Cricetulus griseus: one gene and its partner. Each later gene encodes a partner of the first gene's protein in a complex. Links are inferred from orthologs where the notes say so. Each region holds a gene or a part of one and is shown on either strand. Other genes may lie near its edges. The genes, in order: Dnajb1 and Nudc.

Region 1 (14,794 bases):
TCTTGGCAAGGGACATGCTGTTATTTAAAAATGTCCCCAGCATCCTCCACCCACTGCTCCTCTAGCACCTTGCTCTTGTTGGTATCTGGCATATTGGATGCTTTATTTATATGTTCTTGATCTCATCTACTCCCACCTGACCATCAGCCCCACAAGGATAGGGATTATTAATTTATTTATTATAGTGCTGGGAGTGGAACCTAGGGTCTGGTGTGTGCTTTTCTTTTCTTTTCCCCTCCTTCCTTCTTTTCCTTGATAGGTCTGGAGCCCAGAGCTTCCTTGGTACTAGGCAGACACCACTGAGCCAGGGCCCAGCCCAAAGACAGAAATTTACAAATTTTATCTTTAAATATTTATTTTTCACTTACTTATTGTGCACGTATGTGGAGGCCAGTGAACAAGGCTTACAGGGTGCAGGTAAATGACACAGACCCAGTGGGTTGCAGGAGTTGGTTCCCCTCTACCATGAGGGTTATGGGTGTCAGACTCATGTTGACAGGTGTAATCACAAGCAGTTTTACAAGGCTGAACCATCTCACCAGCCCAAACAAAGACAGGCATCCCTGACAGTTTTGTTCACTCCTGTTCCTAGCACCTAGCTCAGGGCTGGAACATGGTGAGTGCTCAATAAACACTTATCAAATGGATGAGTGCTAACTATATGACTGTCCCACAGTGACAGTCCTTAGCAACAGTGAGAACAGAAAACAGCCTTCTGCTTAACCTTGGCAAATATCTTTGTCCTCTTCACTGCCAGCTGGGGACCATTGCCTCTTGTGTGCTAAGAACATGGCTCTCATTGTCCTTCAACTTGACCTAGGAGTTGGGTTGTGTTTCATTTGACAGTGTAACAGACACGGAGACCTTAGTACAACTGACTCAATGATGGAAATACCATTCAGATCATGGAATCCAGCATGTAAGTGGCACGAGCTGCCAAAAGGATAACAAAGACCTAATCCATCAAAGTCCATAGTCCTGGGAAAGTCTCTAAATGGGCTAACCTTGCTTTTTTACTTCTGTAGTTCTGCTTCTGGCTAACTACTCTTGTTAACTGAGATGTGTCAACCTAGGATGTGGATTTTGTGCTTAAAAGCTCATCCTGAGAAAGGCTCAGGGCTGTATCATGGTCCTAAACACCCAGTGTAGTAGCCAGGCAGCTAATAAAGACTTCCTATTGCCTTGAACCTGTGTCTGAGTAGTCTTCTCTGGTGGATATCCCATAACAAGATGGTCTCATTATGTAGCTAAGGGTGTCCTTTGTGCTCCAGATGATGAACATTGGGACTGGAGTTCTGCGGGGTTTTCCTTTTGCATGTGGTGTGTGTGTTTCAATGTGTACGTGTATGGACCTGTGTGTAAGTGTGAAGGCCGCAAGCTGACATTGTTTTCTCTACCATCTCCATCAGGGTCTCTGGCTGAACCCACAGCTCCCAGCTCTCACCTGGTAAAACCTTTGTTTATACAAAGGCAGCCTGCTTCGTCCCAGGAATTTGATGGTCGGAAGCAATGACTCCTGTCCCTTTCCTCCTTCATTTCCAGTAACTAAGTCTTTTCCGACTAGCCAGTGGGATAAAATTGTGAGGTTGGACCCCAACCAATAGGGAAAAGTCACACAGAGTGAGAATAAAACCAAGAGCACTTCCCCTCTTTTCTGAGCTGACCCTCTTAGTCAAGAAGACTGTCTTGTCCAGTTTTTGGAGTGGTGGTTTCTTCCTTTGGGACCCTGAACATCGGCTGTTTTGCTTGCCTGTATGTCTGTGCACCAGGTGCATGCCTGGTGCCCACTGAGGCCAGATCTACCAAGCCTGTAACTAAGAGTCATAGCTGGTTGTGAGCTACCATGTGGGTGCTGAGAATCAAACCTGAATCCTCCAGAACAGCCAGTGCTCTTAACCACTGAGCCATCTCTGCAGTGTTTCCTTGCTCTTTTAAAAGATGGTCTCACTATACAGCCCTGGCTGGCCTGGATATGCAGACCAGGCTGGCCCCTGCCTCCAGAGTGCTGGGATTCAGGGATCTGTCATCATACCCAGTCACTTTTTCCATTTTTCAAAGATTACTGAGAGGATCAGAGAGGTGAAATCACTTATCCACACCACACAGAAACAGAGTGCTGGAGCTAGGGTCGTCCAGTCTTGGTGCCTATTTAGGTGACAAGGGAGCAGGTCTACTTTAGCTGTGGCATCTGCTTCAGCAGACCTCTGCTGAGGTCATCGATACACCTGGGTTTGGTTCCTGGGAATTGGCAACGGTACTAATCCAGGACAGACTTGTCTGTCATTGGGAAGGTGTTATGGGTGGAGCTGACATACAATACTGTTCTGTGTCAGTATGTGCCTGGTGTGTGTACCATTTACGTATCTGGAAACCCTTACATACCTAGAAGAGAGGTAGTTGCATGTCTTTATACTTTTGCAGTACAGGGAATGGAACTCAGGTCCTTGTGCATGCTGGGCAAGCACTCAATTGCTAAGCTACACACTCAACCTTTCTCCTCCATCCCCACCCCCGGGGGCCAGGTGTCTCACTATGTAGCTCACTAAGGAACTCACTCTGTAGGTTGCTGGTTTCATACTCAGAGATCCACCTGGCTCTGCCAAGTACTGGGATCAAAGGTGTGCATCACTATACCTAGCCCCTTTTTACTTTTTAAATTATTAGTGTGTTCTGTATATGTCTGTATGGGTTTGCACATGCTAACACAGTTGCCCCCAGAGGCCAGAGAGGGCCATAGATCCCCTGCAAGGCACCTGACCTGAGTGCTGGAAACCAAACTTGGGCTTTCTACAAACTTATGGCTTTTGACCACTGAGACACCTTAACTTTCCAGGCTGACTTTTTAGTTTTTTTGAGACAGGGTCTAAAAACCAGTCATAGGCTGGCTTTGACCTTGCTTACTATAAGACATCATGCTCAGAAAAAAAAGTCCTATTATTATACCCATTTCACAGTTCAAACACTGGCATAATGAGGTTGGTTTCCTTGCCCAACATCATACTGCTTGAAAAAGATCAAGCTGGAGAAGGAGGTGTTCAGGCTTGGACACCTCTCTCAGATGACTGTAGGGTTTAGTTAACATAGTTAGGAGGTGACATAAGCAGATTGTTGTATCTTCTTATATTTTACCTTTATGATTGTTAATTTTGGATACTTTATACTGTTAAGTTTTAATCCTCTTTTAGACTAAAAGGGGAATTGTAGGGGAAGCTGTAGCCACGCCTTCTTAGGGGCTGGCTACAGGTGTGCCTGACCAGGCTTGTGAGGGCGTGGTCAGAGTGACGTAGTGTGACTGCTTTTGCGGTTTCGGTTGCTCTTTGGTACTTGCTGTACAGGCTGCTGACCCACCAGCTGGCTAGGTCGCTCTGTAAGTAAGGCTTTTCCCTATTAAATACCCTTATATTTCTACCTGACTCCGTATTGGTAATTTCCCACTATCCTGGAATGCAGACCTGGAAGCAAAAATTCAAGCTGGAGGCAAAAGTCGTCCATTAACTGGGTCTTTACAACTCCCCCATCCCAGTTAGAGCTAATGAGACAGAGATGGAAGTATTGGGAATGAAGCAGCTCTTGCCCTGCTATGCCATAGGAAGGGGGAAAGCAATGCTTCAGAGATAGGCATTCTGTGCAGCATCTCAGAGGCCCCGAGAAAACAGAACACCTGACAGTGGGGGGATGAGTTTCACTCTGTGAGTCCTGTCCAGTTTCATAGTGTGCTAATGGCAGCCAAGAAAGGAAACTGAAAATGTACAAAGCACAGGCACAGACTTGTGAGGCCTTAGATTTATTGATATGTAAAAGTGCTTTGCCTGCATGGAGTATGTTTATCATGTGCATGTTTGATGCCTGAAACCAGAAGAGGGTATCAGATCCCATGGAACTAGTTATATGTGGGTGCTGAAACTGAACCAGGGTCCTATACAAAAGCAAGTGCTGTTAACTAACCCTCACAGGCACTTTCTTGAACACACAAAAAACAATTTCTTTGGTGCCCTCGTGTAATAGGAAGGGAACCCCAGGCTCAGGGCAGGCCCTGTTCCCTTCTCAGGCCATGTTAAGGGGTTTGAGGTGTGGGGCTATAACCCAGGGCCTCACTCATATATACCAGTGCTTCATACTGCTAATACATGTGCCCTGGGCCCTAATAACAGTATGTTCCCCCCCCCCCAAATCTCCCACTCCCCAGGTTGTTGGCCATGCTGTTTGTGGGTTTCTAAAACAGTATGTCCGTGCACATACTTCCCTACCAAGTTCACAGGGACATCCTGCAGAAGGTGGATTTGCATGGGCTGGACCCATATTCTATTGTGGCTTAGTCACATTTCCAAGTCTTTGTAACCCTCAGAGCTGACTTTACAGAAGTGTGCTACTACACCTGGCTCTTAAATGAACTTTCTATGCAATGCTATAATTTTTTTAAAAACAAGGTTTACTTTTGAGCAGTCTGCAGCATGGCCTGTGGCTGCAGTCAGCTTAAGAGGACAAAAACCTGGGTTCTGTTACCAGCACCACTAAAATACAGCAAGAAACCCAACACACTCCTTTAAGCCTATGTCCTACTTGCTTTATAATCAACCTAGCTCTTTAAAGTAATTTAAGGTCCTAGGATACCCACATAAATAAGGTTGGGACAGGAGTGGGTTTTTTCCTCACTTCCCACAGAACAGACCCTGGGCCAGCTCCAAGCAGTTAGTCTAGCATCCTAGGCCTGGTTTAGCCAGGCCTAGTTGGGATTTGGGCAGGTGGAGCTTTAATCCTTAGCCCTGCTGGTTACTAAGTGCCCACATGTGGCCAGAGGCCTTTCGAGACAGAAAATGTGCTCAGAGCAGGCCCCTACCCAATTTCCCGGGAGGGAAACAGCTTTCTTTGGAGGACGAGGACTCTCACCATGCCGCCCCTCCCCAGCAAAGCCCTCAAACAGAGTCGAAGGACTGCTCCCCTGAGGTTTGCCATCAGTCTTTAATGCTGTCACACTGCAGAATGACAAGTCACACACTTTGGTCTCGTGTTGGTAGTGGCAACTTACAATGAGTCGAATGCCAGAGCACCGGGCTAGCTTCAAAGAACAGACCCCTTCACTCCCAAGGGCTGACTCCATCACAGCCCTGGACAGACAGTAGTAGTTGACAGGGACTGCTTTCATCTGGGCGCACACCAGCTTTGAATGGAATTATAAAAACATATTTACAGACGTTTCACAGGGCTCCTTTCATCAGAAGCAAAGACCCTTTTATATAAAGGGATTATATCTAGGGCTGTGCAAAATTCAAAAGGATTATATCCTTTTGAGAGAGTTCAGAGTCTATTACACAAAAAAAAAAAAATCACCCAGGCCTCTGAGAAGTCCCAGCTACGGCCAAGGACTACCTTTGGACCAACAAATACTGTGACCATAAGTCAACTACCTGATTTCAACAGAGCAGAGGTTCAGGGACTCTCCTGGCTGTCCAGGTCCCAAACCCGGAGGGAGGTGGCAGTGAGACTTGCTCACCTGAGGCTGGCCATGTGGTCCTGTAACCAGGTATTGCTTGTGATGCTGGCCTGGCAGTCCTATTGAACTAGTCTCAATTTGAGATGGCCAAGACAAGACAGGATTCTTCTGGGGAGGAACAACAAGGCATGGGACAAATACAGAATAAAACAAGAACCTCTCACACAGTGGAGACTGACTAGTGCACAAGGTCTGGCAACTGAGATGGTGGTCACTGCCACATGAGAGCCAGAAACTAAAGGACAGCAATGGGGGCGAGTCCAGTTGCAGGCCTGCCTCACACCCTTGGGCAGGAGCTGGGATGCAGAGGGTGGGTCCATTCCAGGAGGGCTGTTGTTCCCACCGCCTGCCTATCACTCAAAAAATCACTGTAGTCTAGTGAGCGACTTTGAAAGATTGTAATATATTCTGTGGAAAACATTCGGCAGAGCAAAAGCCCTCCCTGGGCCCTCCCGCAGTATGCAACCAGTGAACGGTCCGGAAATCTGCAGCTCTGGAAAAGTCCCTGGCTCAGTCCTTGGAGAATGCAGGTGGCTATATGGGAAGAACCTGCTCCAGGACGGTTCTGGATGTCAGGGGAATCCTTTCGGGGAAGATGACTTCAAATTCGATAACAAGGTCCCCACGTTTCTCAGGTGTCTTGGGGAGAGGGAGGCCTTCTCCAGGAACTTTCCGCCGCATGCCGGGCCTGATGACATCTTTGAATACAACAGGGATGGTCCTGCCGTCCAGAGTGGGGACATTTACAGTGCAACCACAGAGAGCCTAGGAAAGCAAAAGGACTATGTTAGATGGAAGCTGGCTTAGGAAGCTTGACTCCTCCAACATCCAGAGAGAAGGTTCAGGTCCACCAGACCCATGCAGCTGAGCTCCAGCCAGTCTCCCCCACTGCTCCTCAGAGCAGTCATCTCCTTTCATGATTCTCCCACCTAGTGCCTTACCTCCCGAAGGCTAATCCTGGCTGGATAGATGACATCAGAACCATCTCTCTTGAAGATATTGTGTGGCTTGTCCTTTAAAACAAAGACGATGTCAGCTGGAATGTTGTTGGAAGTCTGGTCCCCTTCCTTGGGAAAGGTGATTTTGGTCCCTTCTTTCCAGCCCCTCTTCACTTCAATGGTCAGGATCTTATCTTCATTTCGAATGCTCTTTCCATCGGGGTTCAGCCGCTTGTGGGAGATTTTCATTTTCTTGGTACAGCCGCTGTAGATCTCTTCAAGGGAGACCCGGAGATCGTGGGTGACTGGGGGATCTTGCTTCTTTCGGGCAGGCTCTTGGGCAGGGCGGGCACGTCCAAAGTTCACATTGGTGAAGCCACCCATACCCATTGGAAAGCCCGAGAATGGGTCATCGATGTCCATGCCTTCTTCCCCGTTGCGCTGCCCAAAAAAGGTATCAAAGGGGTTTCTGCCACCAAAGAACTCAGCAAACATGGCATGAGGGTCTCCATGGAATGTGTAGCTGAAGGAGGTACCATTAGCACCGCCACTGCTACCGCCACTGGGGCCACCACCCTTTAGGCCTGGAAAACAAAATCAGAAATCAGAGTTACTGTAGGAGAGTCAAGGCCCTTGGTTTCCATTTCTAGCACTGCAATAAATTAACACATTTACAAAACAAAATCAAGCCTGGCGTTGGGTGGTGTATGCCTTTAATCCCAGCACTCGGGAGGCAGAGGCAGGTGGATTTCTGTGAGTTCGAGGTCAGCCTGGTCTCCAGATCGAGTGCCAGGATAGGCTCCAAAGCTACAGAGAAACCCTGTCTCGGGGGAAAAAAACAAAACAAACAAACAAAAAAATCCCACCAACAAACCCATAAAATCCTTAAAATAGAAAGCCCAGACATGGTGTCGAATGCTTGGAAACCCAGCACTCCGAAGACAGGAGCAGGTTGATCTCTGCAAGTTCCAGACCAGCCAGGACTCCAACACGAGGCATTGGGGACGGCTCAGAAGTTAAGAGCACTTGCTCCTATGGCAGAGGAACCATGTTCGATTATCAACTCCCACACAACAGCAGACAACTAACTCCAATTCCAGGGGATTCAACATCCTCTTCTCTCGAAGCAAGTACACAGTGAACATACATACATACACGTACCCATATATATAGAAGTAAAAATAAAAGCCTGAACTACACAGTGCGATCCGGTGACTGTCATGTTATATAGCCCTTGAACTTGCTGAATAGTCCAGGTTAGCCTAGAGGCAATCCTCCTGACTCAGACATACCAGACCTGGGATTGTCACTACATCCTGCTCTTTTGGAAACAGGAGCTCATTCTGTAGCTCAGATTTGAAGCAAATTCACAACAATGCTTCAGCCTCCAAAGTGGGGTGTGTGAGCTCCCGCACCTGGCTCAACAAGTTTTGCTTTTAATAAAAAAAGCCCTGGGAACCGTAGTGGGAGGGGTTATATGTATTTTTAAGTTTGTTCTAGGTGAATCTCAAGTCTTTAACTGCCAATGGCAGCAGGAGCAGGAAACACATTACTCCCTTTCACTTCGTGACAATTCGGTAGTAAGGCCTGCAGCTGTCGGCGCCACCAGGTCTACTTGACAGCCCCATCCTCTCTGCCATGCTGTAACACCTTACAGAGAAGTTCCTACGCACTGCGGCCAGAAAGGCTCAGCTCAACTCTGGGTTAAGCGCTGAGCCTGCGGGTTAGCGGGCCCAGAGGAACAAACACTCGGGCGATTTTCAAAATCTCACACCCTAGCGATCGCGACCGCCGCCCTCCGTCTGCAGCGTTCGGGCGCTGTGCAGGCGGCCGGCCCGCCGGCCGGGAGGGGCTGCGGCAGACGTGCTAGAAGCTTCTGTGTGAGCGGCGGGCGCGCCCAAAGCTCCTCCTCCCGGCTGAGGCCGCCGATCAGAGGGCGGAGGCGGCACCGCCGCCGGATCCCCGGGCCGTCGATGCGGGGCCGAGGCCTCAGAGAGGCCCCGAGTGCCTCGGTTTCCCTGCCTGTCAAACGGCGGGTCACCCCCGGCCGCGCGCACGCGTACCTTCTTCTCCGTAGCGGTCGAAAATCTCGCGCTTGCGCGGGTCGCTGAGCACGTCGTAGGCCTCGGCGATCTCCTTGAACTTCTCCTCGGCGCCGGGCTCCTTGTTCTTGTCGGGGTGGTAGCGCAGCGCCTGGCGGCGGTAGGCTCGCTTGATCTCGTCGTCGGACGCGCCGCGGGCCAAGCCCAGCGTCTGGTAATAGTCCTTGCCCATGGCCACCGCCGCCCAGCTGTCGCCGCCTCCGGCTCCGCAGCTGCCCTGTCCCGGACTCTATATACCCGTCCGGCGGAAGCTTCCAGATCCCGCCAGCCCTCCAGAACCTTCCGCCCCTCCCGGCGCGCCGCGCCACTCGGGCCAATCGCTGCCGGCCGCTCCGTGACGCAGAACATCCGGGGTGGGACCCGGCAGCCAACGGCCTTCCGCGCGAGGCCACGCCCCTTCCCGCTCTACCCTGGTCAACGCCTCCCTGGGGCGCGCGCGCCCCTGCCTGAGGTCCCGCCTCCGCAGTGGAGACAGCCAATCGCGGCCCGCTCTCACTGCCGACTGGTGACGACGTGGGGAGGGGGCGGGGCTACAGAGGCGGGTCTCTTCCGAAGCCGCACCCTGTCCCTAGGTGAAGACCGGCTGGGCGGTCCTGCCCGGTGACTTGTAGCTGCCCGACCCGTCCCTCCAAGTTCCCTCTGCTGTCACCCAGGGATAAAAGTCCGCACCCCACCCTCTCCTGCCGGTTGCTCCGTACAGGCCGTTACTGTAAAGCGAGGTGAGGCTGGTCTGGCGAGGGATCGCCCCAGTCCGGGTACTCAGGCTTCCTTACTTCCTGCTGAGGAATTAGCCGGGTTCTTGGCGTTCCGGGTAGATGTCACTCACTTTGCTGTCTGAGTTCACCACCAGGGCAGACATTGGATTTTGCTTCGTGGCTGTGCATCTTTTTCAGGACCCACTAGGTGCTTCGTAAATATTTCCGAATGCTTTGACGTGGGCGCTTCTTGCTGTGGGGGAACAGAGCACCTCTGTTAATTGACTCTTTGGGTTTTTAAGTCTTGGATGATGGCGGTCAAGGACACAGCTGAGAGCAAAGGGGAGAGAGCTTCTGAAACTGCCAGGCTTAGAGAAGCGGGGGTAGTCGGTTTTGGTTCCTGCAGGGAGAGAAACTACCTGGAAGTCAGAGCACGAGCCTTGACTCTGTAGCCAGAGAGAGTAGGCTTCGTTCCAGATCCTAGTACTTCCTGGCTGTGTGACCTTGAATTGGTAAAGTAGCCGTTCTGGCCTCAGTCGTGCTCACTTATGAAATCGGAATGGCCGCTGTATATAGGAAGTTGACGTTACTCAGCATCTGTGAAAGTGCTCAAGAAAAACCAGGGACAAAGGGATGACTAATTGTCTTGTTTAGTGGATGACGCTGACACCTCCTCTCTGGCAGCCCTGCAGCGTCTGAGCCTCTGCTGAACCTTGCGTTGGACAGCCCGAGACCTGTGAGAAAGATGACCTTAGCCTTCTCTTGGTGGTCTATCCGGATGTGTGTGTTCTGGTTTTCCTGACCACACTGACCCCAAGAGAACTGAAAAGGGCTCTGTCTAAACACAGTTGAGCCCCTGCCCCCAAAATGGAATTGGGACTAGGGGATCCTTTAGCTCAACAGAGGATGTCCTGAACCAGTCACTTGGAAATATTCAATGTTACCTAGAGAAATAACAAGAGAGCTGGCACAGTGGAACATTCCTGTAATCCCAGCACCAGGAAGCTGCGACAGGAGGGGTACTGTGTAAGGCCCGCATGGTTTACAGAGTGAGAGCTTGCCTCAAAATAGGTGAATAGAAACAGAAATTCCATAAAGAACAGAAGAGCTGCCCCTACCGGAAAGCGCAGAGCATGAGGAATTCTTCAGTGGGGACATTCAGGTGTGCCTCTAGAGGGGCTTGGCTGGGTCTCACTAAGGTTTCTAGTCCACCGTATTTTGCACAGGAAATGTTTGTGTTTGGGGACAACCTCAAGGCTGGAAATGTCCTGCTCTCTAAGTAATGATGGGGCATAGTTTTGAAGGTGTGTTTTAGTTACTACTGTGACTTTTTTATTTTTTATTTTTTTAGGCAAGGTCTTGTCTTGGACTTGTAGCCCAGGCTGGCCTTGAACTTGGGATTCTCCTGCCTCAATCTTAGTGTTGAGCTGACAAGCACCTGCCACCTTGCTACCAGGAAGTTTCAGTGGTTTAAAAACAGGTGTGGAGCTGGGCGTTGGTGGCACATGCCTTTAATCCCAGCACTTGGGAGGCAGAGGCAGGTGGATCTCTGTGAATTCGAGGCCAGCCTGGTCTTCAGAGTGAGTGCCAGGATAGGCTCCAAAGCTACACAGAGAAACCCTGTCTTGAAAAACCAAAAAAAAAAAAAAAAAAAAAAAAACAAAAAACAAACACCCCCCCCCCAAAAAAAAACAACAGGTGTGGAAAACTAACACCACCTAGTGGTGGTAACACATGCCCTTAATCCCAGCACTGGGAGGCAGAGGCATTTGCATCTCTGAGTACCAGGCCAGCCTTGTTTACATAGTGAATTCCAGGACAACTAGAGCTATATAGTGAGACCTTGCCTCAAAAAACAAACAAAAAAGACATAGGGCTAAATAATGGATTTTAAGCTGGGAGGTGGTGGCAGGAAGATCTCTGAGTTCAAGGCCTGCCTCTTCTTCAGAGCAGGTTCTAGGACAGCCAGGGCCACACAGAGAAATCCTGCCAAACAAACAAACAACAAACAAAACCAAGGTGGACCGCTCCTGAGGAATGACACCTTAAGCCCTCTGACCTTCATATACATATTCACGTAAATTTGTGCACATACACACACACACACACACACACACACACACACACACACCCTGCCCTCCTCCCGAGTGAACAGTGAATATTGTTAAAATCGTTCTTACATTTATTGTGTGTGAACTTGGTATGGTGCCTATGTGGATGGAGGTCAGAGAACAGCTTCTGGGAGTCAGTTTTTTTTTTTTTTTTTTGAGACAGGGTTTCTCTGTGTAACTGCTCTGGCTGTCCTGGGATTCACTCTGTAGACCAGGGTGGCCTCAGACTCACAGAGATCTGCCTGTCTCTTCTTCCCAAATGCTGGGTAAAGTCGTGCACCACCACCTACCATCTGGAGTCAGTTATTTCCATTATGTGTCTCCTAGAGATTGAATTTAGACTTTAAGGCTTGGCAGCATGTACCTTTACCTGTGGAGCCATCTTGCTGACCCCTACACACAAAATATTTTTATTTATTTATTTTTGTATTTTGACACTTCTTGCTATATAGCCTTAGATGGCCTGGGACTCCTAAGATCTGCCTGCCTCTGTCTCCTGAGTACTGGGATTAAAGGTGTACCTACCACACCAGCCTCATACCCTACATTGTCTTCCTCAGCCAGGAGCTAGGCAGGTACATCTGGACCTGGCAGTCTAAAGTCAAGGCCTGCATCCTGGGGAGATGGTCTATACGGTATAAAATGGAGATAGTAGATTTTACCTCATGTTGTTGCCATGTGGGTGGTGCTCAGAGGACTAGCTCAGCTGCCTCAGGTAAGGCAGAGTCAAATGTGCTGTGGAAATGTGTTGCCCTCGATGTTCATAAAAAGCCGATTGGCCATTGACGAGGCAGGATTTCCAGGGCAGAGAGAATGCCGGGAAGAAGAGGGAAAGATGTCGGGAGTCAGGAGGAGATGCCTAGAGACTCAGAGGAGCAGAATGGGAATTATGTAGATGAGGTAAATGAGCCTCAGAGCAGCACATAGATGAATAGAAATGGGTTAATTTAAGTTATAAGAGCTAGCCCAGGCCACAGAGAGTAAAGCATTGATGAGCTTGCTGTATTGAGCTCTTACTGGGGGCACTGGTGTGTGATGTGTTAAATGTTGGTGAAGCCTTAAAGAATTTTGCTACTGCTGGATGGTGATGACACATGCCTTTAATCCCAGCATTCAGGAGATCTCTGTGAGTTTGAGCCTGGTCTACAAAGTCAATTCTAGGACAGCTAGGGCTATACAGGGAAACCCTGTGTAGAAAAACAAATACAAAAAAGACAAAAAGAAAAAGAATTTTACTATTGTTCTCTTCAACTCCTTACCTGTCTGTCAGATATGTCCAAAAACATAGCAGTTCCATTAGTCACCACTGCCATTCCTAGGGAGAGTCTGTGTGCAATAGAAAGCTATGTTCAAATTGGGCATGGTGGCACATAGCTTTGATTTCAGCACTAAAGAGGTTGAAGCAGGAGAATCTCTACAACACCAATAACAAAAAAATCAAGGAAGAAACAACAAAAACGCTATGTTCAAAGGCTGGCAGGACAGCTCAGCAGGTAAGGACTCTCGCCACCAAGCCTGGAGGATCTGAGTTTGATCCTTGGGACCCACTTGGCATGGCAGAAGGAGAGAACTGACTCCCTGCAGTTGTTCTTTTATCCAGCTGCAAACTGTGGCATGTGCACCCCTCCCACGTCGTGCACACAAATCAAGTATAATCTTATGTTTTTGGTTGTGAGCTTAGCCTTTAGCAGCTGAGCCATCTTTCCAGTCCAAGTAAGTATAATTTTAAAAAGTTAAATAAACTTAAATTTATGTAACAAACTGTTTTATTTTTACTGAGGCTTTATGAATAATTACCAATAGAACTTGAATGTTGTTGAGTAGCTATACAAGTTGTAATCTGTCTACACAATGGAATATTATTCAGCCATAAAAAGAAAAGAGCCATGAATACAGAAAACAATACCAGTGCACTTCACATGCATTATGTCAGTGAAAGAAACCAGGCTCAAAAGGCTGTGTGCTTCTATTTTCTATGACCTTCCAGAAAACACAAAAGTATGTGAGTAGATCAGCAGTTGCTAGGGACAGGGAAACTGCCGAAAATCCCTACACGGGGATTCTTGAGGGTGAAAGATACTGTCTCATTGTTTTTAAAGATTAAAACAATTTCTTTTTTGTCTTGTTTTGTTTCCGGACAGGGTTTCTCTGTGTAGCCATAACTGTGCTGGAACTCACTCTATAGAAGGCTGACTTTGAACTCACAGAGATCAACCTGCCTGTGCCTCCTGAGTGCTGGGATTAAAGGTTTGTGCCACACCAACCAGCTTCTCTCTCTCTCTCTCTCTCTCTCTCTCTCTCTCTCTCTCTCTCTCTCTCTCTCTCTCTGTGTGTGTGTGTGTGTGTGTGTGTGTGTGTGTGTCTTTCCCTCTCTCTCCCTCAGCAGACTTTGAATTTGAATTTATAATCTTACTGTTTCAGTCTCAAGACTACTTGGAATTACAGGTGGGTGGGATGGGTGGGACTAGGGAATCTCTCAGAGCTCTTGACACAGCAGAAAGTGACTAACCAGCTCTAACATGTCTAAGCCTGGCTTCATAGCCTCCATTAGACAGTTCTGTGCCAGGATCACATACTCTGAAACAGTGTGGGGCAGTCCCAGGAAGTTCACCACCTACCTTACTGTGAGGTATGTTCTATTGAAGTCAGATTCTTGCCACCGAGTTCTCCAAAACTCAGGGTAGAGGAGTCACTGATGTGTGTCTCAGCTGCTCCTGCTGCTCTGCTGCATGCTGTCAGTCAGCACGTGATCATGGGTGTGCCCACCGTCATTAGGAATGAATCAGCCTCTGTGCTAGGTGTGCAAGGGCACAGTTGGAAGCTCTGTCTCCAGACAGGACCTGACAAAGCTGTCTCACAGTGAGAGGCTTGAACAAAGTGACCATTCTCCATGCAGGACTGGATCTATCATTTCCTGATGGGCTGTGTATGGGAAGCCAGATGAGGCTGACAAGGGATTCCCAGCACCAGCTACACTTATCCAAAGCAGGAAGCCAGGCACGGAGCTTCACTCCTGCCAATCTAGCTACTTAGGAGATTGAGTCTGGAGGATCCTAAGTTCAAGATTACCTTGAGCCCAAACTGGGAGCTGGAGAGATGGCTCGGTGGTTAGCAGCACATACTGTCCTCAAAGAGGACTCAGTTTAATTCTCAGCAGTCCTGTTGGATGGCTCACGTGTACTGACACACCTTGGTCCTACCCTGCTCCCTGTCATCGGAACTACCTTTAAGGACTTCTTAACCTTCTAGATCTGAGACAGGAGGAGAAGACGAGAGAACCGTCTAGTTTCTGTGTGCTCCCTGCTTCTATTGAGCTAATTCCCTCTGCCTCAAGCTTGTGGGGCCAGAAATCAAACCCAAAGCCTTTTACTGGAAGGACTCCACCACTGATTTTCTTTGTTGTTTTTTTTTTCTTTTTTTAATTTAAATTAGAAACAAGCTTCTTTTACATGTCAGT
Region 2 (15,115 bases), on another chromosome or scaffold:
GGAAGTAGTATAGAAAAAAATACGCCACCCATTTTCCCTGGTTAAAATGCTAAGTCAAAAAAAAACTCCCTTACATGAGGAAATGCCAATATCTCTCACTCCCTGATGGGGACTCGAGATGACAGCCGGGGTCGGCACTGGAACCGCAGCACTGGTCCAGGGACCCCACCACTATAATGAGCTAAAAACAGCCATAGATAAAGATATTAAAGCCATAAAAGGATCCGTCACTAAATTAGAGAAGTCTTTGGCTTCTCTAGCAGAAGTTGCCCTCCAGAATCTTAGGGGACTTGATCTCCTTTTCCTTAAGGAAGGCGGGCTCTAAGCTGCCCTAAAAGAGGAGTGCTGTTTCTATGTTAGCCATTCTGGAGTTATTGGGGATTCCATGGCCAAGCTCAGAGAAAGACTCAACCAGCGGTAAAAGGAACGGGAGTCCCTACAAGGCTGGTTAAAAGGATGGTTTAACAGCTCCCCTTGGCTCACTACCCTAATCTCCCCCTAGTTCTTAATCAACAATATCAGGCTCTCAGGCAATAAGAAGGACCATAAGTTTTAGAATTAAAACCTCACCAAAAAAAAAAAAATGGGGGAATGAAAGATTTTAGTTTGCTGAGAGAAAAAGTTTTGAAAGATTTTAGTTCACAGAGAGAAAGTTCCCACAGGCCTCGGCCCATTACAAGGCAGTTGGCCCCAACCCCGGCACATCCTATGGTTTAGACGGGGGCAATCGCCAAGACAACCCTCTTTGGGTCACACCTGACTGGCCAACAGACAATCAAGGACTTTTCAGGGTACGTTCTGTGGTTTTTCCTTTGTAGAAAAGCAGGTCACACCTGGGTGACCACTCTAACATGAGATCATTCTTTGTAATCAATCACTTTGTGCCCCTTGCCTGTATGCTGATCTGCGGTTTTTTCCTATATAAATAAGGAGCTTGCATCCCATGCTGGGGTGCGCAGCTTTCCCGATATTGCTGACACCCGAATGCGCATTCGTTCAATAAACCCTCTTGCTTTTGCAGCTCTTGGTCTGGTTTCTGAGTCTCGGGGGCTCCTCGGGATCCTGAGGCCCTTAGGGGTCTGGGGTCTTTCACTATCACACCTGCGTGCTGGCTGCTGCTGCTGCTTTTAAATTTAATTTATTGCATATGATGACTGCTGGCAAAATAAAAAATAAAATCAATATTTTTGTGTGTATGAACTGGAGTTAGTTTTACCTTCCACTTTATGTGGGTTCCAGAGATTGAACTCAGGCTTGTCCAGGGGAACTGCCTTGATCTGCTGATCCATCTCGCTTAATCATTTTTAAAATGCTTTTTTTTTAATTTGGGGCTATAGAGATGGCACAAAGATTAAGATCACTGACTGTTCTTCCAGAGGTCCTGAGTTCAATTCCCAGAAACCACATGGTGGCTTACAACCATCTGTAATGAGATCTGCTGCCCTCTTCTGTCCTGCAGGAATACATGCAGGAAGAGCACTGTATACATAACAAATAAATCTTAAAAAAAAAAAAGAAAAAAAAAAAGCTGGGCAGTGGTGGCACATACCTTTAATTCCAGCACTCAGGAGGCAGAGGCAGTTGGATCTCTGGGCGTTCAAGGCTAGCCTGGTCTACAGAGCTTGTTCCAGGACAGCTGGGACTGTTATACAGAGAAACCCTGTCTTGAAAAAAAAAAAAAAAAGTCTGAACAAGCCAGTAAGCAGCTCCCCTCCATGGCCTCTGTGTCAGCTCCTGCCTCCAGGTTCCTGTCCTGACTTCCTTTGATGATGAACAGCAATCTGGAAGTGTAAGTCAAATAAACACTTTACTGCCCAACTTGCTTTTGGTCATGGGGTTTCATCATAGCAATAGGAACCCTAAATAAGGCACATTGTATGTCCTAGAACTCTGTAGATCAAGAGGGCCTTGAACTCATAGAATCCACTCACCTCTGTCTCCTAAGTGTTGAGATTAAAGGCACGTGCCACTGTGTCTGATTAAAAAATTATGGTGCTGTGCATATGGATATCAGAGGATAACTTCTGGAAGTTAATTCTCTTCTTGCACTGTGCGGATGCTGGGGGTTGAACTCACATCATTAGGCTTGGCCACAAGTGCCTTTACTTGCTGAGCCACCTCACACTAGCCCAGTGTGTGCATTTATATGGGTTTGAATTCATGGACTCCCATCCAGTAGCTGATATAGTGATACTGTCATTATTTATACTCATGAGCAGATGATCATGCTGTCACCAATTTGGCAACTAGAAGCCTGGTTACCGTGCCTGTGCCGTGGTGTCCATGTCCTCTTGATCTGCCATGTTGTCCTGTGAATATACCTTTGTTTTCTGCTATAAAAGACACAAGTCTTCAAGTTCCTCCAATCAGCCAGTATTCCAGTCTGACTCTGGCATGGGAGTGTAGTTATGGAGGGAGCTTGCCTACCATATACAAGGCCCTGGCTTCTGTAACATGAATAATTTAAGACCCAGAGACAGATATTGGGGTTCAAGCTTCAAGCTGGAGACCAGAGAAGCAAAGGTACCAGCCATTAGCTATTACCTGTCTCCATGACTCTCCAGAGACAATGCTATCTCCATGAATCCTCAGAGGCAAAAGCTCTGTGTTCCTGTGTCCTCCTGCCTTATATTCCTTTCTCTGCCCAGCCAGATCACTCCTGTCTCCACCTCTCTAGTTATGGGATCAAAGGAGTGATCTCTGTTACTCTTCACTCTTGTGTAAGTCAGGGTGGCCTTGAACTCAGAGAGATCTATCTGCCTGTCTCCTGAGTCCTGGGATTAAAAGGTGTGTGTCACCATCATTGCCTGATCTCTATGACTTGTGACTAGCTTTGCTTTCTGAACCCTTCAGGCAATCCTTAATACATCATAAACAATATATCATCACAGGCTTCTATGCTCAACCAGAGTAAGGGGGGGTTAGAAAGAATAATGCAGAAAGAACAAAACCCAGAACAATCCTATATTGGATGGGAATTGATCATGTGATGTGATGTGTGTGTGTGTGTGTGTGTGTGTGTGTGTGTGTGTGTGTGTTGTGTAGAAAATGAATGTAGAGGAGATGGTTCATCAGTCAGTGCACTCCATATTTTTTTTAAAGATTTATTTTGTATACAGTCTTCTGCCTGCATGTCAGCCTGCAGGCCAGAAGAGGGCACCAGATCTCATTACAGATGGGATCCACACCCCCATGTGGATGCTGGGAATTGAACTCAGGACCTCTGGAAGAGCAGCCAGTGCTCTTAACCTCTGAGCCATCTCTCCAGCCCCTTCAATACTCTTGTAGAGCACCAAGGTTCAGTTCTCAGTACCCACATGGCAGCTCACAACCAAACATCAATAACTCCAGTTCCAGGGGATCCAACAGCGCCAGACACTGCATACACATGGTGCACAGACATCCATGCAGGCAACACACACACACACACACACACACACACACACACACAGACACACACACACAATCTACAGCTGGGTGGTGGTGGCACACACCTTTAATCTCAGCACTTGGGAGGCAGAGGCAGGAGGATCTCTGTGAGTTCGAGACCAGCCTGGTCTACAGAGTGAATTGCAGGACAGCTAGTGCTGTTACACACAGAAAGTCTGTCCTGAAAAACCAAAAAAAAAAAAAAAAAAAAAAAAAAAAAAAAATCTAAAAAATTTAAAAACGAAATAAAAATTATTTCTAAGCCTCACAGAAACTGCTTCGACAGTGCTTCCCCTTGTCTGTGGGGCTCAAAGTAGATGTGATATACCTGGTGCACTCAGGCACTACCTGAGTAGTTCTTTGGAAGAAGGAGTTGAGAAGGTGGAGCCTCTGCCAGGCTGGAAGCTAAGTGTATGGAGAGATCACTAGGAACCTGTACCTCTGACCACGCCCATTTGGTTGTGGTCACAAGAATGTACAAGGAGTGAGGAATAAAGAAAGGGCTGAGAGAGAGGTCACAAGCTGTCTCTTGGGTTTGGTTTGGGTCGCAGAGAGCAACTGAGCTTGATCCTCGGAGCTGGAACTTGGGGTTTATCAGTTTCTCCCAGAATAAAATTAACCTTTATTTTACATCCACACTATGGGGAGCTGTATTTCCTGTGCCGTGGATATGATCTTAAGGCCAGATGTCATTTCTCGAATCCCTAGAGGGGGGAGAAAAGGCTGTGGCTAGGATTGCTATAGTCCAGGGCCTGTCTGGAGCCACTTGCTCAGAAAAGTCCAGGGCTTCTGTCTTAGGGTTTCTATTGCTGTGATGAAATACCGTGACCAAAAGCAAAAATGGGAGGAAAAGGCTTATTTGGCTTACACTTCCATATCTAAGGAAGTAAGGACACGAACTCTCAAGTAGGGCAGGAACCTGGAGGCAGGAGCTAATGTAGAGGCCATGGAGGGACGCTGCTTACTGGTTTGCTCCTCATGGCTTGCTCAACCTACTTTCTATAGAACTCAGGACTACCTGGCCAGGATGGTGTCATTCTTAACGGGCTAGGCCCTCCCCCATCAATCACTAATTAAGAAAATGTCCTACAGGTTTACCTCTGTGGGCTCTTTTTGTTTTGTTTTGTTTTGTTTTGTTGTTTTTGAGACAGGGTTTCTCTTGTACTGGTGTGTGCCACCAACGCCCGTCTGGAATTCTTAACTTTTCTGTTCTTTGGCTTTGGAGTCTGTCCTGGAACTAGCTGTTGTAGACCAGGCTGCTCTTGAACTCACAAAGATCCACCTGCCTCTGCCTCCCTGAGTGCTGGGATTAAAGGCGTGCACCACCAACGCCTGGCCCCCTCTGTGGGCTCTTAAGGAGGCATTTTCTCAATCGAGGCTCCCTCCTATCTGAGGATTCTAGCTTGTGTCAAGTTCACATAAAACTAACCAGTACATCTTCTAACTGGCAGATGACACAGGCCAGCCTTCAGAGACCTGAGTCTGACAGGGGAGATGAGTCCTGCTCTTTGGGAGTGTTTAGCTGAGGTTCAACCCCTCTGAGTCCCTATTCCATGGAGAGAGATACAGCCAGGCTCTCAGTAAATGTTTGGTAATAATCTTCCAACAGTATAGCACTTCCAGGTTTACAAAGTAAAAAATAAATGCACACTCGAGGGTGGGGGGGGGGCTCTTAAGGGGATACACATGGGCTATCTCAGTGCTTGGAGATGAAGACAGGTGGACCAGTACAAGGCCGTCCTTGCCTTCAGTACGCCATCCCTGTCACAGCAAAACAAATCAAGCCATCACCATCACTCCAACCACCAAAACAAAGAACAGAAAAGTTAAGAATTCCAGACAGGGGCGTTGGTGGCTCACACCTTTAATTCCAGCACTTGGGAGGTAGAGGCAGGTGGATCTCTGTGAGTTCGAGGCCAGCCCGCTCTCCAGAGTGAGGGCCAGGATAGGCTCCAAAGCTACACAGAGAAACCCTGTCTCGAAAAAAAACAAAAAAAACAAAAACAACAAAAAAAAAAGTTCCAGACGGCAGGGGAAGAGCATTAATCCAAGTGCAAACAGTTTCTAAGCCTGGGCTTTATGCAAACTACAGTTTTGTGCACTCTTCCAAAAGCCTGGTCCTGGATGACGGAGTCAGTTGTCCCTTTCGGGAGCGCTTTCTTGCTGGGTCTCAACTGTCGCTCGCAGCTGAAGGTACTGCTTAATCAAAACTTCTCCTAACTTCCAGCCCTATCAAGATGCGAGCTCAGAGCTTTCTAGAAGGCTCCTCCCGGGTATCTGGTGACCATAGCAACTCAAGCCAAACTCTGCGGCCGCAAGTCCCGCCCACCGCTTTGGGGTCGCGACTGTTGATTTGCTCCTCCCGTTAGCCAATGACCGGTGAAGCGGGCTGCGTTCCGGGAGCGCAATGGCCACCGATGGGCTGGGAGGCGGGAAGAGAGCAGGGAAGGGCGGACCCGGGAGGCCGGGGCCGTGCGTGTTTCCGGCTCCGCTGCGGAAGGCCGGCCAGGGGGACCGTTGGGCCCGACGCGAACCGTGCGGAGCGCGGGCATCGCCGAGCGCGAGTGCAGAGCTCGCAGTGCAGCGCGATGGGCGGGGAGCAGGAGGAGGAGCGCTTCGACGGCATGCTGCTGGCCATGGCGCAGCAGCACGAGGGCGGCGTGCAGGAGGTAAGCGGCGTGGCCCGCGCCCCAGCCCTTCTCCGCCCTGGATCGCCCAGACCTCCCCCACCCCGGCCGCGCGGGTCCCCGAGGCCCCGCGGGCTGCCCTCGCGCCCCAGCTTCCGGTCCGCCCACCCCGCGAGCCGCCAGCGCCCCGCAGCCGGCCCCCGAGGGCAATTTCGTGGTCCCAGAGTGACCCCAGAGCTTCGGCATCCACTCTGCGCCCCACGCGGGCTTCTGCTGGCCTTGTAATGGTTGCGACTCTCCCGGACGTGATTTCCATCTTAGCCACAAGCGCAGGCAGCCTCCCTGTCTGTCACCTATCGCTCATTGCACGCAGGGGAGTGAGAACCGCGTGAGGTCAGCACGTGGCCCCCTTAAGCTTGAATCGGGGAAGTGAACCGCAGACCTCTCCGTTCCCTTCTGCTGGGTTAAGCGCCCCGCACCACCTAGCCTCAGTTGTCTAGTCTGTGAGGTGAAATTTAGAAATGCCACATCTTGGGTTTTGCTTTTGTTTTTTGACTCAGGGTCTTTGCTGTGTACCCCTGGTTTGCCCAGAACTTGTTATATAGACCAAGGTGGATTTAGGGTCGTCCTCCCGCCTTTGCCTTCCGAGTGCTGAGATTCAGGTGTGTGCCTAGTTTTCTTGAGTTTAGGAAAGTCTTTCAAAGGGAAAGACCAAGTTCATAATAATAAGGTTTGTTCATCAGGTGTTTGTCATTATCTTGGTACCTGACATAGAAGACTGGTCCTGAGGATGCAGACACAGCCGGAGACCAGGCATTGCCTTCATGAAGTTACTGATATATAAAGAGAACTTCTTGCATGCATATATATTATTTTGGAGCCAGGTGTGCCTTTAATACCAGCACTCGGGAGGCAGAGGCAGGAGGATCTCTGTGAGCTCGAGGCCAGTCTGGTCTACAAAGCTATACAGAGAAACCCTGTCTCAAAAAAATCAAAAAGCAACTTTGGGAGGAAAGGTTTATTTCACTTACTGTTCCATATAATGGTTCATCATCAAAAGCAGTGAGGACAGGAACCCAGGACAGGAGCTGATGCAGAGGCTATGGAGGATGCTGCTTGCTTCCTGTGTTGGCCCTCGTGGCTTACTCAGCCTGCTTTTTTATAGAATTTAGAACCACCAGCTCAGGGGGTGGCACCGCCCACAATGGCTGGGCCCTCCCACATCAGTCAGTAATTAAGAAAATGCAGGCTTGCCTATAGTTTTATTTATTTATTTATTTATTTATTGTTTTTCGAGACAGGGTTTCTCTGTATTGCTTTGGAGCCTGTCCTGGAACTCTGTGAACCAGGTCGGCTTTGAACTCACAGAGATCTGCCTGCCTCTGCCTCCTGAGTCCTAGGATTAAAGTCGAGGGCCACCAATGCCCAGCAGCCTATATCTAATCTTATGCAGGCATTTTGTCAACAGAGGCTTTCTCCTCATGTGACTTTAGCTGTGTCAGGTCACTACAATTCCAAGTCATTTTATCTAGGTGGTTATGTTGTTCAAGGACTTCTGAATCTCTTGAAGGGGCAGAATGTGTCAAATCTGCAAATGTCCTAAACTGACATAATATGGATCTGGGAGTGAGTTCACTTTCTGTTTTAATACATTTAAAGTGCCTAGAAGTAGGGATTGCACACAATGGGCTAAATTCTCCTGTCAAATTTAGAACCATAGATGAACCTTGAAGACATTTATGAATTAAGTCATATAAGAAAGGACAAACACCTTTAATCCCAGCACTCAGGAAGCAGAGGCAGGCAGATCTCTGAGTTCGAGGCCAGCCTGGTCTCCAGAGAGAGTGCCAGGATAGGCTCCAAAGCTACACAGAGAAACCCTGTCTTGAAAAACCCCCCAAAAAAAAGAAAGAAAGAAAGAAAGAAAGAAAGAAAGGACAAACACTGCCGTCAGTGGTGGCGCATGGTTTTAGTCCCAGCACTCAGGAGGCAGAGGCAGGAGGATCTCTGAGTTTGAGGCCAGCCTGATCTACAGAGTGAATTACAGGACAGCCAGAGCTACACAGAGAAATCCTGGCTCAAAACAACTACCAAAGGCTGAAAATGTAAGTGGAAAGTCTGATAACAGAACCTTCCGAACATTACAGCTTAGCAATATAGTGCAATGTAGGGTATTGGTGGTTTGCTTTTGTGGTGTAGTATCGGACTGGGAGCTGACTCTGGCTGCCTAGGGTTGCAGGACACCATCTGTACACATAGTCCAAGAAAGACCAAATAGATTCTATTTCTACTTGGTGCATGCTGCTGTTGTACCAAGATGAAGTCTAAGCCCTAAGGTACCTACCATCATCAGCTGGTGACCCTCTGTACTCTGAGCCATGGCTCCTGAGTCTTATGTACGAAGAGTCTGCCATTCTCTAGCCCATCTCCCTTTCTGTGCCAGACACTCACTGCCAAGGGTTTACTGTGTAGAGAAAGAGTCCTAGCATTCATTGTGCTCAGCTTCTCGAGGATACCATATGACCATCTGCCCCAAGTTTCTCTTCAGCTCTTCTGTCTGTGATGGACCAAATCCTGGACTATAAACCAAAATAGACCCTTTCTCCCTACAGTGACTTTCTGTGGTGTTCCGATGTCCCATGTCCCCCGCTTCCCCATTTCTCTGTGTTATAGCCCCAGCTATCCTGGATGGCCTCGAACTCCGTAAGATCTGCCTGCCTCTGCTTCCCAGGTGCTGACAGCAAAGATTCATGTTACTGTCACCCTGCTTTTCTCAGGTTTCCATTTTTTAAAAAATACTTATTTTTGTTTTATATATATTGGTGTTTTGCCTGCATGCATGTCTGTGTGAGGGTATCAGATCTTGGAGTTATAGACAGTTGTTAGCTGCCATGTGGGTGCTGGGAATTGAACTCAGGTCCTCTAGAAGAACAGCCAGTGCTCTTAACCACTGAGCCATCTCTCCAGCCCCCAGGTTTTCCATTTTTGCTTTTAGTAACAGCAACAGGAAAAAACTAAAACAACACTGGGAAATAAAAGTACTCTGCTCTTTTGAGACAGAGTCTCACCAGAGAGCTGAACCAGACCAGAAGTAAACCCATGATCCTCCTGCCTCAGCTTCCTGAATTTCGGGCTTCTCAGGAACTGAAGGGACTTGGTGGAGAGGCTGGCTGTTAGGTGGGAGCTTCAGAAGTAAAGATTCAAATTGAGATTCTCTCTTAAACTGAAACTTTGTCTGCAGCTGAGGCCCCACGCTGAGCCCCAGGCCTCAGTTTCCACCCCTGTCTTTCAGCTTGTGAACACCTTCTTCAGCTTCCTTCGACGCAAAACGGACTTTTTCGTTGGAGGAGAAGAGGGGATGGCAGAGAAGGTGAGTGCTGGGGACTCCTTTTCCTTGGGTGGATCTGTTGCTGGGAGACAAGCCTGGCCTGGCTCGTCTAAGCAGGAGCAGGACGCCAGCAGGATGGGGGCTTGGAAGGGGAATGAGCTGTCACCCAGGACCCACTCTTGGAATGGTCCTTTGTCCATGAACTTCCTGTGGCTCTTGAGTAGTTTCATGGGTGTCAGCCGTCCCCATTTGATGGGTGAGGAAGTTCACTCAGGGGTGTTTTACACTCTGCAGAGTCCTGAGCGGAACTGTAGAAACACCATGGAGACTGTCTGCTGTAGGTTTGCTTTCTGTCTCCGAATCACCCTCCACCCCACAGGGTTTTTGCCAATTACCTGGCTGGAGATGAGTAGACAGACATTACATTTGGAGGCCAGCCTGTGCTACACAGTGAATTCAGAACTGTGGTATGTGTCGCCATCACAAAAAAGAAAGCAAAAATTTAAAAAATCACGCAGCAGTCCAGGCCTGTCATTTCAGCACTTAGGAGATGGTGGCTCAGGGCCATCCTTGGCTGTATAGTCTACTGGGCTACATCATTAGACCCTTGTCAGACAACTCTACTCCCCCTTTCCGCCAGGATACAACGAGCTCCTACCTGGGACTCACTTGAACAGCTTCCATCAGAAAGACAAGAAAAGCTGTGTGTGATGGTGCTACACAGGGTTACTGTGGAGGCTGAGGCAGGAGGGTGGCTTAAGTCTGCAAGTTCGAGACCAGCTGGTACACTTGAAAAGTGACAAAGACGTGCAGAAGTTGGGATCACTGGGCACAGCCAGAGGGGATGTCAGGTGGCTCATCTACTATGGCAAAGAGCCTGGAGTCACCTGGAGAATAAAAATAGAATCACCGTGCCCAGCAGTTCCATTTCTGGGCACGATAGGGAAGATTCGGTTGCACATGCCTCCATTTCTGGTGACAAACATTATTCAGAATAAGCAGGAGGTGGGCGGGGCTGGAAGAGAAGGCTGTGTGGGAGGGCTGGCCGCAGCTGCTCCCAGCACCCGAATCAGGTAGCTCACAGTTGCATGTAGCCAGCTTCCTGGGATCTGACGCCCTCGCCCAGCCTTCTTGCCCACTTGGACTCGGTTGTGAACACCAGCTCAGAGATGCGGATGCGCATAAGTAGGGTTTTTTTTTTTTTTTTTTTTAAACTTGTTTTTGTTTTTCGAGATGAGGTTTCGCTCTGTAGACCAGGTTGGCCTCAAACTCAGATCCACCAGCCTTTGCTTCCCGAGTGCTGGGATTAAAGGCGTGCACCACCATGCCCAGCATGAGATCTTAAACTAAAAGCCCACTGGGGAGTGGCTTGTAAGATCCAGCCTCAGTTCTCGCTGAGTCTTCCTAGCAGTCTACCAGTCCTGAGCTATGAGATGGGATTCTAACAGACAGGTCTATCAAGTCTATCAAGATTCTTCCTATCAAGATCCATCCGCTTGGAAGTACCAAGGACTTAGGAGTTTTGTGCCGGGAACCTGGGACAAAGACTTGGTTTCTTTACTGTAGCTCACGTCCACCTTGCGGGTGCAGGGTTTCTTTTTCTTCCCTAGAACTACACTGTAGATAGACAGAAGTGGTTTCTCTCTGGCGCTGTCAGTTCTTGGTCATGCCTATACCTATGGACCTATCATTGTTCTACCTCTTTCCTTTATCTGGAGAAGCTTCCCATCACTCACTCTTTGCTTCTGTGCAGGAAGAGCCCATGTTTCTGCTTTCAGAATAATTACTAGTATGTTTTCAAGGTGACTCACGAGGTGGGTTTTTTCTCTACTCATTGCCGGGCGTGGCGGCGCACGCCTTTAATTTCAGCACTCGGGAGGCAGAGGCAGGCGCATCTCTGTGAGTTTGAGACTAGCCTGGTCTACAAGAGCTAGTTCCAGGACAGCCTCCAAAGCCACAGGGAAACCCTGTGTCGAAAAACCAAAAAAAAAAATCTCATGGGCTTGAGTAAACATGTTCCAGGGTTGTTACCAAGTCAATCAAGAGGGATATCTGTTACAGGACACAGGCTTGTTTTGCTTTTGATCCTAGCATGAGCCTCCCTATCAGGCCCCGTGTAAACTGCTGTCAACTTCCATCTTGGGAGTTTGTCAGGCTATTGTCACCTTCTTCCCTGATTCCCTCTACCTAGCTTACTTAGGTTAGCCTTCCCTGCTTCCTTTGTTTATAAATGTTTGAATAGATATACTTCCTAGTTAGCAGCTTAATGAAAGGTGTTTTGTACTGCCGGGTGGTTGTGGTGCATTCCTTTAATCCCAGCACTTGGGAGGCAGAGGCAGGCAGAGCTCTGTGTGTTCGAGACCAGCTGGTGTACAAGAGCGAGTTCTAGGACAGGCTCCAAAGCTACACAGGGAAACCCAGTCTCAAAAAAAAAAAAAAAGAGGTGTCTTGTAAAATTCCCCTGCGTTCAGAAAAATGGTTGAACTGCTACAAAGAGAGGTATCATCTGTCTCTGGAGGGCATGGGCATAGTCGTCATGATGCCACTCAAGTGAGGAGGTGCTGATGGCAGGGTGAGGTGCAGGTCAGGGGCCTTGTTCTTCACAAGACAGGGAATTTGACTTGGTAAGAAACAAAAGGTGCCCTGAAAGCCACCTCAATGGGGCAGGGCTAGCCCTGGACCAAACAAGGCTGTCCCAAGTAAAGGAAGCAACAATAGTAAATGAAGAGCTGTGGAAGTTACTAAAAGAAAAAGTTGCATGAACACACACACAAACGCACGCACGCACGCACGCTCGCTCGCTCGCTTTGCAGGCCAGATAGAAGGACCTGGGCAGAGGCTGAGCGCATAGGCTGCGTGCTAGGAAGTAGTGGGCCATTCTGTGTAAGGCTGGTACCAGGTGGGTCTTCATGGGTGACTATTTGCTCTGGCCTTGGTCACTTGGATGACAGTTATCACTCAAAATGAGGAGCTTCCTAGGAGAAAGTTGCTGGGGTACTGGTTTGTGGGGTGTGGGAGTGTAGCAAGCTTCCTTGTCTGACTATCTTTGGATTGGCAGCCTCCAAGTAAGGACACAGAGACTTAATATTAATTCTGAAAGCTTGGCCTTAGCTTAGGCTTTTCCTTAAGTAGCTCTTAAAACTAACTTAAATGAACCTGTCTGTATTAATCTACATTTGTCATGTGGCTCAGTCACTTCTGCTCTGTACCGTGTGTCCAACTTAAGAGTTTCCCTGGCATCTCCCTGCCTCTCCTTCCTAGAATTCTCTCCGCAGAATTGCTGCATATTCTCTCCTGCCTAGCTATTGGAAATTCAGCTCTTTATTAAACCAATCACAATGACACGTCTTCAGTGTACAAATATCCCACAACAGGTAAGGGTGGAGAGAAGCCATGTTGGTTCTGCCTGTTCCTTAGGTAAAGGCTGCTGGCTCTGTATCTCTCCCATCCCAACTCTAGGCATATCCTTGCTGAGAAATCTGGGGCCTGTGGGGCAACTTGAAAGTTGAGAAAGGGCAGGAGCCAGGTATGCGGCTCTAACACAATCTGGGAAAGGGAGACAGATGGTGGGGTAGGCAGGGCCAAAAGACAGAATCAACAGGACACTGTCTCCCTGAGCACCCTGACCAGATGATGCATCCCTCTGTGGTCCACTGCTACCCTGAGTAACCTGAGCATCCCTCTGTGGTCCACTGCTACCCTGAGCATCCCTCTGTGGTCCTTTGCTTGTCAAGTGTTACTAACCCTGAGAGTGATCAAGGTCAGGCTCTCGGCCTTTCTTTGGGTTAGGCATAAGTGGCTCTGCAGTGTGCCCTTCCAGACTAGGAACCATTCTTATCCCCATCAGTTCTGTTAAGAAAACACCTGTGTTCGCCGGGCGTTGGTGGCGCACGCCTTTAATCCCAGCACTTGGGAGGCAGAGGCAGGCGGATCTCTCTGAGTTCGAGACCAGCCTGGTCTACAAGAGCTAGTTCCAGGATAGGCTCCAAAGCCACAGAGAAACCCTACCTCAACCCCCCCCAAAAAAAAAAAAAAAAAAGAAAAAAGAAAAAACACCTGTGTTCAACCCACCAGGTCCAGAATACCTCACTCTGTCCCGCCTGCCAGCCTGTGGCTCCTAACCCTGTGTCAGTGGCTGAAGCTTGACTCGAGACCTCTACAACCTCTGCTGCATAGGCCACCTCTAGCCTATGGTGGGAGGGGACTGGCAAGAAGGGTCAGAGGCTGTTCTGGTTGGCTTTGACATTGCCTGGTGGCTCGTGTCTGTCCTCTTTTAACCTCCAGTGGCTAGGAAGTAATAGGACAAGTGGATTGTGACATGATTTATGGGGCTAGAAGAGGGAGGGCCCTGTTCCTGTCCCTCCTTGGCCAGTGATTGTCAAATGGCTTGAGTTCAAGGTCCCCCTGATTAGAAACTGGGGACAAGGCCCTTTGGTGGAACAGTCTCTTGCAGTTGCTTCATGACCTGTTTCTCTCCTCAGCAGCATGGCCTCTGAGTTCCTTGTTTCTTTCACTCCCATTATTACTCCTTTTTAAAGAAATAGTTTACTTATTTTATTTTATATGTATTGGTGTTTTGCCTGCATGTATGTCTGTATGTGGCAATCAGATTTCCTGGAACAGTTGTTACAGACAGCTATGAGCTGTAACGTGGGTGCTGGGAATTGAAATCTGGATCCTATAGAAGAGTAGCGAGTGCTCTTGACCACTGAGCCATCTCTCCAACCCCCGTCATTACTCTTAAGCTTGCTGGCACTGTGGTGTCTTCTTTGCTTGCAAAGTCTGAAGCTATCTCAGTGAGGCATGGGGCTGGGGATTGGAAGGGAGGGTCACAGATGAATGAGTCTGGGGACATTTGACAGAACCTTGGGTATAGGAGACTTCTGTGACTGCGCCTCCTTCCAGCTTAGGTGCAGACGTGCTTGGAATATGGTTCATTGAGCACTGATCACGGGGTGGTTGCCCTGGGGACTCCTTAGGTATGCACTTTGTATGAAGTGTGGGTGGCCACAGAGTTGCAGTAGGGTCTGTTCAGAGTCGGCTAGAGACATTTGAGCTGGTCCTGGAGACTGACCAGTAAGACAAAGAGCTCATTCTAGGTGAGAACAGCATTTGCCGAGGCTGTGTTTACAGAGAGACTGAGATGACTCAGGTCGTTCTTCAGACCTGTGGCAGGTGCTAGGTGGGGAGTCCTGGGTGGCAGGGAGGACATCTAGCAGGTCCTGGGGTTAAAGCATCATGGGATACTTGCTCAGTGGACATGAAAGAACTTGAAATTGGAAGTTCTCTGTTTAGGAAGGAAAATAGATTCTTCCCTTGGGAGGGGAGGGGTCTACTTGCTGATTCTGAGTGTGACTTTGAGTGCTGCCATCTGGGGCAGAGAGACAGCCAAGGAACAGGAAATGTAGACCTGGGTGCTAGGGCAGGCTTCTTAAAGGGACTGAGCTTGAGATCTGTTTGTAACAGAAGCAGTACCAGCACCCTCCTCACCAGTGCACAGCTGTGTACCTGGCACCAGTTGCAAGGCAGAGGTGAGCAGGGCTTTGTCCCTAGGCCTTAAGACATTGTCCCTGCTCTGATGTTTCACTGCCCTCCCCAGCTCATCACGCAGACCTTTAACCACCACAACCAGCTGGCACAGAAGGCTCGGAGAGAGAAGCGAGCTCGGCAGGAGACTGAACGTCAGGAGAAGGCAGAGCGGGCAGCCAGGCTGGCCAAGGAGGCCAAGGCA

What was found.
Region 2: the proteins of Dnajb1 (region 1) and Nudc are in contact, whole or in part, in a crystal structure (PDB 7NDX), measured with the Homo sapiens proteins. The link is inferred for Cricetulus griseus from reciprocal best matches to the Homo sapiens genes DNAJB1 and NUDC. Residues at the interface, in NP_006136.1 of Homo sapiens: His166, Lys181, Lys182, Met183, Lys184, Ile185, Ser186, Asp201, Lys202, Ile203, Ile235, Phe237; in NP_006591.1 of Homo sapiens: Pro102, Gln103, Ile104, Lys105, Glu106, Leu107, Ala112, Leu115, Gln116, Ile119.

The regions. Positions count from the first base shown.
Region 1 is NC_048596.1:160,780,310-160,795,103, forward strand, and holds Dnajb1 (dnaJ homolog subfamily B member 1), read right to left. Parts: upstream 8,807-14,794; 5' UTR 8,704-8,806; coding exon 8,493-8,703; intron 7,014-8,492; coding exon 6,433-7,013; intron 6,257-6,432; coding exon 6,026-6,256; 3' UTR 4,941-6,025; downstream 1-4,940. UniProt on the Homo sapiens protein: Interacts with HSP70 and can stimulate its ATPase activity. Stimulates the association between HSC70 and HIP. Negatively regulates heat shock-induced HSF1 transcriptional activity during the attenuation and recovery phase period of the heat shock response.
Region 2 is NC_048595.1:19,718,597-19,733,711, forward strand, and holds the start of Nudc (nuclear migration protein nudC), read left to right. Parts: upstream 1-5,914; 5' UTR 5,915-6,017; coding exon 6,018-6,098; intron 6,099-7,087; exon of another isoform or gene 7,088-7,197; intron 7,198-9,348; coding exon 9,349-9,426; intron 9,427-14,983; coding exon 14,984-15,115. UniProt on the Homo sapiens protein: Plays a role in neurogenesis and neuronal migration. Necessary for correct formation of mitotic spindles and chromosome separation during mitosis. Necessary for cytokinesis and cell proliferation.